Linked DNA regions of Caenorhabditis elegans. The protein of the gene in region 2 purifies or fractionates together with the protein of the main gene of each other region. This does not show direct contact. Each region holds a gene or a part of one and is shown on either strand. Other genes may lie near its edges.

Region 1 (4,935 bases), on a different chromosome or scaffold from region 2:
GCTGCTTAGCGCTCTGACAGTCAGGACAAAAAGGATTAAAGGATGTTCCGTTCTTGAAGAGTTATGCACTGTGGATCTGGGAATCAGGTACAGTATCTGGTGGTGGTCCCACTTGGCTATAATTTAAGCCACGTCCTAGCCGGGGACTGTGGCCGATAATCCAGTCGTGGATTGCTCCACTTCCCAATAGAGGCTAGGTGAACCTAGGGGGTGAGGCCTGGCTTGAACTCGTGCCCTACAGATTGCTAGCGGCCACCACTACCGACTGAGCTATCTACCCCCACAGCAGAAATTTCTGAAAATCAAAACTATCGATCTGGAGACCTTTGGGATCAATCAGTTTCCCATTGTTGTGCGACAGTAAAAAAAGGTGAGGGATAGGTCGATAATCGGTCATCTCTGTTGGCTTTCTCTCGGGACAATCTGTTGCGCCATACCTATTTAATCCAGTTTTATCTTTACAAGATGCCTATGAAGATCTTTAGCAAAGAAATTCTTTCTGATCATTTGATTCAGCTAAGGAGGAAGTATTTTGCTATTTTTTCTTACTTTATCACCTAAAGTAGGAACATAAAAACTTTTCCGTAAATCAACTATCTGTTTTGAACCGAATTGAGAAAACAGATTTACTGCGAATGTGTCTGATTGGAGGTATCTAGCTGCAGTTCATCGTAATACCTATCTTACCACATTTCAAACCTGAAGTTCTCGTAACAATTTTGATTGAACAATGCGGTGTGGATATTCGGGAAACATTAAAGAACCCTATGATCTTTCTTTTAGATACTGGGACAATCAATTGCGCCATACATATCACAGCCAGTTACATCCTTGCGAAATGATTTTGAAGATCTCTAGGAAAAAAGTCATTTTTATGAAAAGCTAAATTTATTTTTCTCCGCCCGGATGTTTGAAGTTTTACAATCGGAGAAAAAGTCTGAAATGTATTACATCCATTAATATGTCTTATAGTTAACAGTCTATAAACTTCCTAGCAACAAAAGTTTTCCAACCTCCACTGGCGTGCAAACCGATCGATCATAGTGAGAAATGGAATGATAAATGGTAAAAAGGCCTCGAATGAGCGCTCTCGCCGCCTTATATACGCCGGCGAGAGACGCAGAGAAAGCAGGGAAATTAGAATCCGTGCGCGCCCGCTGTGGGTCAAGATCAACTCTCCTCCTGTGTGCGTGTGGGTCTAGTATTGAGCGTGTGCAGTCGATGAGCGTGAGCGAATCGTCGGAACTCTGTAAAATACTACCGTAAAGAAGGAAATAAATGTATTGATTTATTTAGCTTATTTAATGATCGAAATATGAGGTCGAGTAAGGCAAAGATCCTTACAACATCCATTAATATGTCTTATAGTTAACAGTCTATAAACTTCCTAGCAACAAAAGTTTTCCAACCTCCACTGGCGTGCAAACCGATCGATCATTTCGAAACCGTAAAGAAAACAAACATCCTTGAGTGTTTAAAAGTCTTGTCTGTGTATTTTATTGAGTTACACCGAACTTTTCTCTTGCTCATCTTATCTTATCCTTTTTCTTTTCAAATAGTTGCAGGCTCCTTTTTAAATTTACTGACCATATCTTACAATAAAAGTTATTTTCCTTCAGTTTACTTTTAATTTGTCTTTCTCAACTGTCATAATATTCCTTATTATTTTTCCAGAAAGTTACGGCTCTTCATCTAATTTCCCAAAAAAATGACCGAAAACCTGACGAAACAGTTGAATTCTTGCAAGATGTTAGTTTTTCAACAGAAATATTATTTATTTCAAAAAACTTATGTTTTTCAGCGCCCACGCTCCCTCGCTATCTGGTATGCCATTGGATATTATCAACAGGATTCTTGACAAGTTGGATCCAATCTTTCGGTATACTTTTTTTTTGTTAATCCACCTAATCTGAACTATTTTCCAACAGATTTTCTCTCCGGAGAGTGTGTCGGAATCTGAGAAACGTCATTGATAACAGAGACCCGGAAATTGAGCAAGTACATGTTCTTTTCCAGTCAAACCAAAGTGTTCTTACTATCAACTCAACATTTGAGTTTGACTACAATCTGTATGCTATACTGGATGATTTGGCAAGTTTGTGGAAGAACCCGAAACTTCAGTTGAAATCATTTTATGCCTCAACATCAGGAAAACATCAGGAAACTGTAGTGGATTCGTTTGAGGAAATTGCTAGATTAGATTATCAGATTCACTGCAAACATTTTGGACTTTATCTGTTTGAATTTGATGATGTGTTAACTTTCTTGCCCCTTTTTAAACCTGGAATTCTAGAAGAGATTGTCATAACTACGTTCGAGCAAGTAGGAAACGATGAAGCATTTGATATAATTGAAACGGAACAATGGAAACAAGCAAAATCAATTACTTTGCATTCAATGAACAAATTGAGTTACTTCACTTTTCCCATTGAAGACCTTTTTCATCTGTGCAAATTCTCTGTGTCACTAGAAGAATTAACAGTTTTTGATGCACTTAAAATCAGAAATGTGAGCTTTAAAAACTTGTATTCTAAAAGCCAATCGAATTGTTTTCAGATTCTCCTGAAATCCGTACATTTTGAAGCTGGTCAAATCAATGTAAAAAACAAAATCCAGGATGATGTTTTGAGAGTTTTCAACCCAGAATTCAACGATAATATTTTTCGCTATGACAATTTTGAACTCACTTTTAAGTTAAATTCGTTGAACGTTAAAAAGATTTAAAGAAATCTTTTCTATTCTGGTTGATTTTTTCAAATGAAAATTAACAATTTGTTTGAAAAATATGCCGCTTCAACTTCAGAAGTACACAGTTATTTTCTGTAAAGCGTGAAAAAATGGCATCTTACAAGAATACAACTGATTCATTAGGTTGGTCATTTTGGTCTGATCAGTCGTTCTCTGAAAAATATTGAGAGATAATGAGAGAAACACTGAGTAAATATGATACACAGACAATCCCTTGAAAAATAGCTCATAGGTGTTTGTTAAACAATGAACATTTTTAAAGTGGGTGGAGCTTGTTAGGTTTTGTTGCTAATAGTAAATTGAAATTGCTTTTATTTTTTCTAATTTAAACTTTCAAAAGGTTCACTTTTTTCTAGAAGTCTCTAAATCTAATTTTTCTTTTTGACACGTTCCTGAACTTTCTTCATAGAAGTTTCAAGAATGTTCCAGAGCAAGGTTTCTGATATGATATTTTGCTCACTTGTGCGTGCTCTTCGTTTATCAAGTGTGACAATATTCTCTGTTAGTTTTCAGAACCCGAAAAATGACCGACAACCTGCTGAATCAGTTGGAATCTTGCAAAATGTTAGTTTTTTTTTCAAATATTTTTTACCCGAAACGCAGAGAAAGCAACATCATAAACATATCTATGTAGATCAAAAAAATTCCATGCCAATTTCTAAAACCAGCAAGATTGTTGACAAAATGGATTTCAAAAATAAGTAATATAACCTCAGTTTTTGTCATTTGAATCAAGATAACAAATTTTCAGATGTATTCTCCGCGGCGTGTGCAAATCGAAGAAAAATACTCATTTGGATTCACTCCTGGGGTGTTTATCAGTGTTGATGAAGAATTCGGAACTTCAGTTGGATTCATTGGATATCATAGTTTACCACAATCATAACACAATAGTTAAGTGGTTCGAAGAACTAGTCCAATCGAAAAATCAGACTCACTGCAAACATGTCCAACTGGTGGCACCTGGAGTTCAGCGTATGTTATCTTTCTTGTCCCATTTCAAACCTGAATTTCTCGAAACAATCATTATTGCACAAAATGGAGTGGAGAATTCGGGAGAAATTTGTAAATTCATTGATATAGTTGAATCGGAACAATGGAAACGAGCGAAATCGATTTATGTCTATTCAATAATCTCCTCCAATTTTCCAATTGAAAACCTCTTCCATCTGACCGTTTTCTGTGTTCCGTTGGGAGAATTGGCAGTTTCTGATGCAATTAAAATTAGAGATGTGAATTTAAGTACTTTTAATATTTAAATTAATCTAAGACTTGTTTCCAGATTCTTCTGAAGTCCGCTCATTTCGAATATGGCCAAATCGATGTGAAGGAAAACATTCCGCAGGAGGTTGTGAGAGTTTTTGTTCCAGAATTCAATGATGAAATCCCTCGCTATCGTTCTCGTGGGCTTGAATTCAAAGTCGATCAATTTCAACTCACATTCAGCTTTAACTCGGTGATAATCAAAAAGACTTGAAGAAACCTTTTTATTTTCGATTGTGATTGTTGTTCTCTTTTCAATTGGAAATGAAAATTTTTTTGAAAATACCGTTTTTTAATTCGGTCTCGATACCGTCACCAATATGGCGAGTCAAATAGTTGAAGAACACCTTGTTGCAGTAGGTGTGTTCGTCATTGAATAGATATTGTGAAAGATCCACTTGGTACACTTGGTGACAGGTTGTCCCATAATATATGTATCAGCACACTCTTCCGTAAAAAATCAGTTGAGAAGTCTGAGTCTAGACGCGTCTGCAAAATTCCCGCAATTCTCGGGCATCAAACCGATATGGGGCATTCTGACAACACGTGTACGTTTAGATACAAAATGCAGAATGACAGTTAATTGTGGGAAGATGACCTCATTTCGGAACGATCTATATGTGCAAACTAATCCAGCCAGATGTTCAGAAATTTTCCAAACAAAACTACAGCGGAAGTAACTGAAAAATGCATTCCACTACAAACTTTCTGTTTTTTTTTCAAAATTATTTCTCATTTTATTGTTGAATTTAACCGTTTTTTTGTATTTTTCAAACTTTGTTTAGAGTACGGTAGTTCGTAAATTCCGCAGTGTGTTTGCGGACCGCACCCTCTATTTTACGATCATTGTTTTATTGTTTATTTCGAAACGTTTTCAATCTAATTTTCGATTAATTTCTGTTCTAATATGAAAAATGTCGTTAT
Region 2 (4,727 bases):
TGATCATGAAATGAAAGTTATCATGAAAACAAACACACTTGAAATAATGTCCTGACCTATTTATCTCTCAAGCCCTATCTCTGAACGGGGAAATCGTCTTCTGTCACACTCTCGACACGAAGGCATAAAAGAGGATTTTTTGGAACAACCCCCTTTATATTATAGACCAGCCGCTCTCTTGGGTTTAATCTTGGGATTAGGCTTAGGCTTAAGCTTAGGCGGTGGGAGGCAATCCGAACTTTCAAGGGATCTCTTGGAAAAAAGTTGTGAAAATGCCATAATCTTCCGAAAGCAGTAAAATACCAACATCCCAGAAACCCCAAAAAACTTGAACATGCCCAAAAAATTGGCGAAAGTCGTTATCCGACCAATAGGCAAAACATTAAAGTGCATATTATTTTGAAAACTTTAGCAGGATGCAAGTTGTGCAGCTGCATCTCCAAAAGGAATAAAATTCAATTCAAACTCAATTGATTGGAGTCTAACAACTAGTCTAACAACTCACGTGGTGTCAGGCTGTCACGTTGCGGTTTGATCTACGAAAAATGCGGGAATATTTTTCCAGAAAAATTGTGACGTCAGCACGATCTTAACCATGCAAAGTCAGATGAGATGTCTGCGTCTCTTCTCCCGCGTTTTTCAAAGATCAAAGCAAACGTGACAACTGTTAAAAATATCAAGACAGTAAATTTAAATGTTTATTTTTTAATTGACATTGATACAGCAACAGGAAGACACAGGAAGATTAGGAAAAAAAGGAAGATTACGATCTGTAAATGTAAATTTAAAGCCATGTTTCCAAATTACAATGTCCTCGTTCCAATAATCAGTGATCCTCATCATGAACTTGTACTCTGGCTTTACAAATGAAGGCCTAAAGCAATTGAACACAGAGCGACGTTCCACTTCTGCTGAATCCGAAATTTCCATATTTTCCATTGACCTCGTACCCTTCACAACTGCAGATGGTACAAGACTGCTCTTCATGTTGGTTGCCGAAAATGACATTAGTCTTCCTTTTTCCTTCAGCTTTTTCAGAAACTTGTTGGCTTGCTTACTGGAAATATTGATACCTTCTAAATTGACAGAAATGTACTTGCTGAGGACCTTCCAGTTGGCACATTTCATGGTCTTTGGCTTGATGACACGAATATCCAAATAATACACATCGAATTTTAGGATACGTTTTAAAAGTTTGCTGGATATGTGTTCATGCTTGAATTTTAATCTAGGTAAGTGTAGAGCCTCCGTTTTCAGAAAATTTAATAGCTGACGGAGTTCAACTTCAATATCCTTTCGATGACTATTAATGAAGAGCGCTTCGAGTTCAAAGGTATGAATATGCATTGAACATTTGACAGTTCCCAGAGCTTGTTTCATGTAATTTCCTCTGTAGAGCACTCGTTTTTCGGAGAAATCATCGAATACTTCAATGTAATCAGGTTGTACATCAATGTTTACTTTTACTCTAGTTGCTTTGCATTCGTTTTCGCGATCTTCAAAATTTCTGATGATTCTTTTAATAAGTTGTTTCGTTTTTTGAGACGTGAAACAAAGAGTGAACCTAAAAATAACTATATATACATACATGAAATACCATTAAAGATGGAGTACCGAATTCTGAGAAACATTTTTTAAATGACTCCAAATTTTCCCCTGATATCGAATATCTAAGTGACAAAATTCAAAAAAATTTCCCTGATTTTATATTAAGGGACCATCAGTTCATGAGAATGCCTGTTTCCTGGCGCGAAACGAACGGCAGCAGAGAGAGCGTGCGGCAAAGAGAGATTTAGGTGCCTTCGCTACGAGATATTCCCGCGCCAAAACGGTAGGCATTCTCATGATCTCATGGATTCTTAATATGTCACCTTGAAATCGCTTGTGCCACGGATTTCTGGTTTCCCTCATAAATTGAAATGTAAGAGTTTGCCGAACTAGGCCATTTTGGCTCCGCCATATCTGCACGTGCTCGATGGTTGTCTCTTTGCATAATTTCGATGAAAACGCGCCCCATTGAGAATAGACGAGGAATGAGACTGTCTCGTCCTCTGCGTCTCTTCTTTCTCACGCTTTTTCTTCTCCGAGAGGACTACGTGAACGGGGGACGAGGAATACTCCTCTTCCACCGTTTTGAAGGACATTTTGCTCAGTTTTTCACGTTTTCTCGTCTGCGAGAAAATAGCAATTTTGAGACAGCCAGCGACCACGTGTATCTGTGATAGATTTACGGCGCGTTGCGTGTCGCGTCGCGGCTCGATCTTAGTTGTAAAACTAAATGTATTTGTCCGTGTGGAGAACACGATTCTCCCACACGTTGTCCGGCGGGCGATTGTCAATGGAGCGCGGAGAATTTAATGAGGAATGCCAGAACCCCGTGCTTGTGCATCCATGAGATTTTTCAAACGCCGAATTTTCGCGCCAAGTGTCGATTTACGAGATTTTCCGTTTTTCAACGATTTTCCTTTATTTACATCGGTTTTTGCATAAATTTAAACATTATATTAACAAAAAACTAACAATATTTCCAATTCTTAGGTCAATAATCAACGTAAATGAAGGAAAATTGTTGACAAGATTGAAAATCTCGTAAATATACACAAATCTCGTAAATCGACACATGGTGCGAAAATTCGAAAAAATCTCATAGATGCACAAGCGATTTCAAGCTGACATATAAAATCAGGGAAATTTTTTTGAATTTTTTCACTTAGATATTCGATATCAGGGGAAAATTTGGAGTGATTTAAAAATATTTCTCAGATTTCGGTACCCCATCTTTAAACAAAAAAGATAACTTACAAATCATAGGTCGGTATACCATCAAGTGCCTCTTTGAGTGGTAATGATGGAAGTTTGCATATTGGAAATGGTGGAGACATTTAAAAAAGAATGGCAGATCGATGAATAACTGGGGACACAACAAGACACTCTGTGCATGCATATCTATTATCGATCTGAATTTGGTGCATATAAGCCTGCACAGAGCAGGTGTGCGTAACAGAGCCTGCCTGCGGAGGGTTGCTCAGTCGGTAGATTTCAGGTGGCAAATTTCTTTGTCGACAAATTCGGCAAATCGAAAAGTTGCCGGTTTGCCGGAACTATTTAGAGATAATTTTATAAGACGGAAACACTTAAAACTTTGCCTTTTTGAATTTTTTTCCCGTTTTTTTAAAAAGATATTTTCATAGAATTTTCTTACTTTTCAAAATAGATGAAGGAACATTCATAGAATGCGTACGATTTTGCCGATTAACATAGAAATTCTGAAAATTTCAAAAACAAAGTGCAAACCCATAATTCACCGGAAATTTTAAGTTCCGGCAAATTCGGCAAATGGGCAATTTGCGGGTTTGCCGATTTGCCGGAACTATTCAGGTCCGGAAATTTGCCGATTTGCCGGTATAATCGTTTGCTGCCAACCGCTAATTCAAATTATGAAAAGATACGGGAAATTTGAGAGAAAAATCGATAATAGGTTCCGCCCGTTACTAGTTTTTTTTTGTTGAATTTTTCAATCGAACTTCTCGTACTTTTTAATGTCGAATTCTGTAAAAATCACAATTTTTGCATTTCTAGTTAGTAACAGTAGCATAAATGGTAGGTAGTAATAAATAGACATTCGACGACTTTTCAAAGCAATTTTATTATTTGGGAAAGTGGAAATGAAACAAGCAATGGAGGATAACAACTCTTGAAACCAATTACAGAACATAGGGAGTGATGTAGTTAATTTAGTGGATAAATTGAAATTTTTTCATGAAATCGAAAAATACGATATCTAGGCTTTCTAACACAAATGGTTAGATAACAACGTGAATCAGTATCTACAAGCCATTTGAACATATCATTTGTAATACTTTCATGAATGAAGATTATATTCGGTATGTCCATATTCATCACCTTCAGGACATCTATCATTTGACGGGCTTCCTCTTCCTTTCGGTGACTTATTGACAGATTTAGGCATCTATTATAACAACGAAAGGTATCTTTAAAAAACTTGACAGACTCGAGAATTTTGTTTGTGTCTTTTCCCTTGTACAAAACCCTATCTTCATGGCTGCCATCGCATATTTTATAATAATCATGTTGTGCAGTTATATTCAGCATTATATAAACAGACTTGCACTTTTTTTGAAAAGTTCAACTCTCCTCCACGGGAAAATTTTTTTGCAAATTTTTTCGTCCCAAAAAAAAAAGGAAAAAAAAACAAAAATAAAAATTTTGGATTTTGGGGGAATTGATATGGTAAAAAATTGCTAATTTTTCTGGAACGAAATACAAAGCGCGTTGAAATTGATTTTAAAAGTATTCGAAAGAAGTATGCTACGTCAAAAAAAAAAACAAATAAACTACTGAGATCTATGATGTGATAAACAAGCACTGCAAACTGAAAACTGAAAAAGAAAATTTTGAACAAAATTTGATATATTTTTAAAACAGTTTTTTTTCCTTTTTTCAAAAAAAATTTTTTTTTTTCATCTGACTTGTAAAGTTTTTTAGGTTTGGTATGTGCTGCCGAAAATGTTTCCACTCGGCACATCGGCATGTGCCGCCTTTTCGACATATTCGCCAAAATTAATTTTTTAATTCTAAAAATGCCAAGAAACTTCAAAAAAATTGATTAATATATGTACCGAATTTATCATTTAAATTTATAGTTTATCAACTTTAATATTGAAACGAACTATAAACGTTTTCTCTGTTCAAAAAACTATTTAGTA

The links.
Region 1: the proteins of W04A8.3 (region 2) and fbxa-111 fractionate together in Caenorhabditis elegans (co-fractionation; one large-scale study listed by BioGRID). This does not show direct contact.

The regions. Positions count from the first base shown.
Region 1 is NC_003283.11:16,946,448-16,951,382, reverse strand, and holds fbxa-111 (F-box domain-containing protein), read left to right. Parts: upstream 1-1,673; 5' UTR 1,674-1,708; coding exon 1,709-1,749; intron 1,750-1,801; coding exon 1,802-1,879; intron 1,880-1,928; coding exon 1,929-2,508; intron 2,509-2,556; coding exon 2,557-2,724; 3' UTR 2,725-3,271; coding exon of another isoform or gene 3,272-3,312; 3' UTR 3,313-3,499; coding exon of another isoform or gene 3,500-3,980; 3' UTR 3,981-4,030; coding exon of another isoform or gene 4,031-4,225; 3' UTR 4,226-4,241; downstream 4,242-4,935. Other genes in the region: fbxa-112 (DUF38 domain-containing protein), read left to right, coding at 3,272-3,312, 3,500-3,980, 4,031-4,225.
Region 2 is NC_003279.8:13,844,045-13,848,771, forward strand, and holds W04A8.3 (F-box domain-containing protein), read right to left. Parts: upstream 2,914-4,727; 5' UTR 2,883-2,913; coding exon 2,803-2,882; intron 1,565-2,802; coding exon 706-1,564; 3' UTR 695-705; downstream 1-694.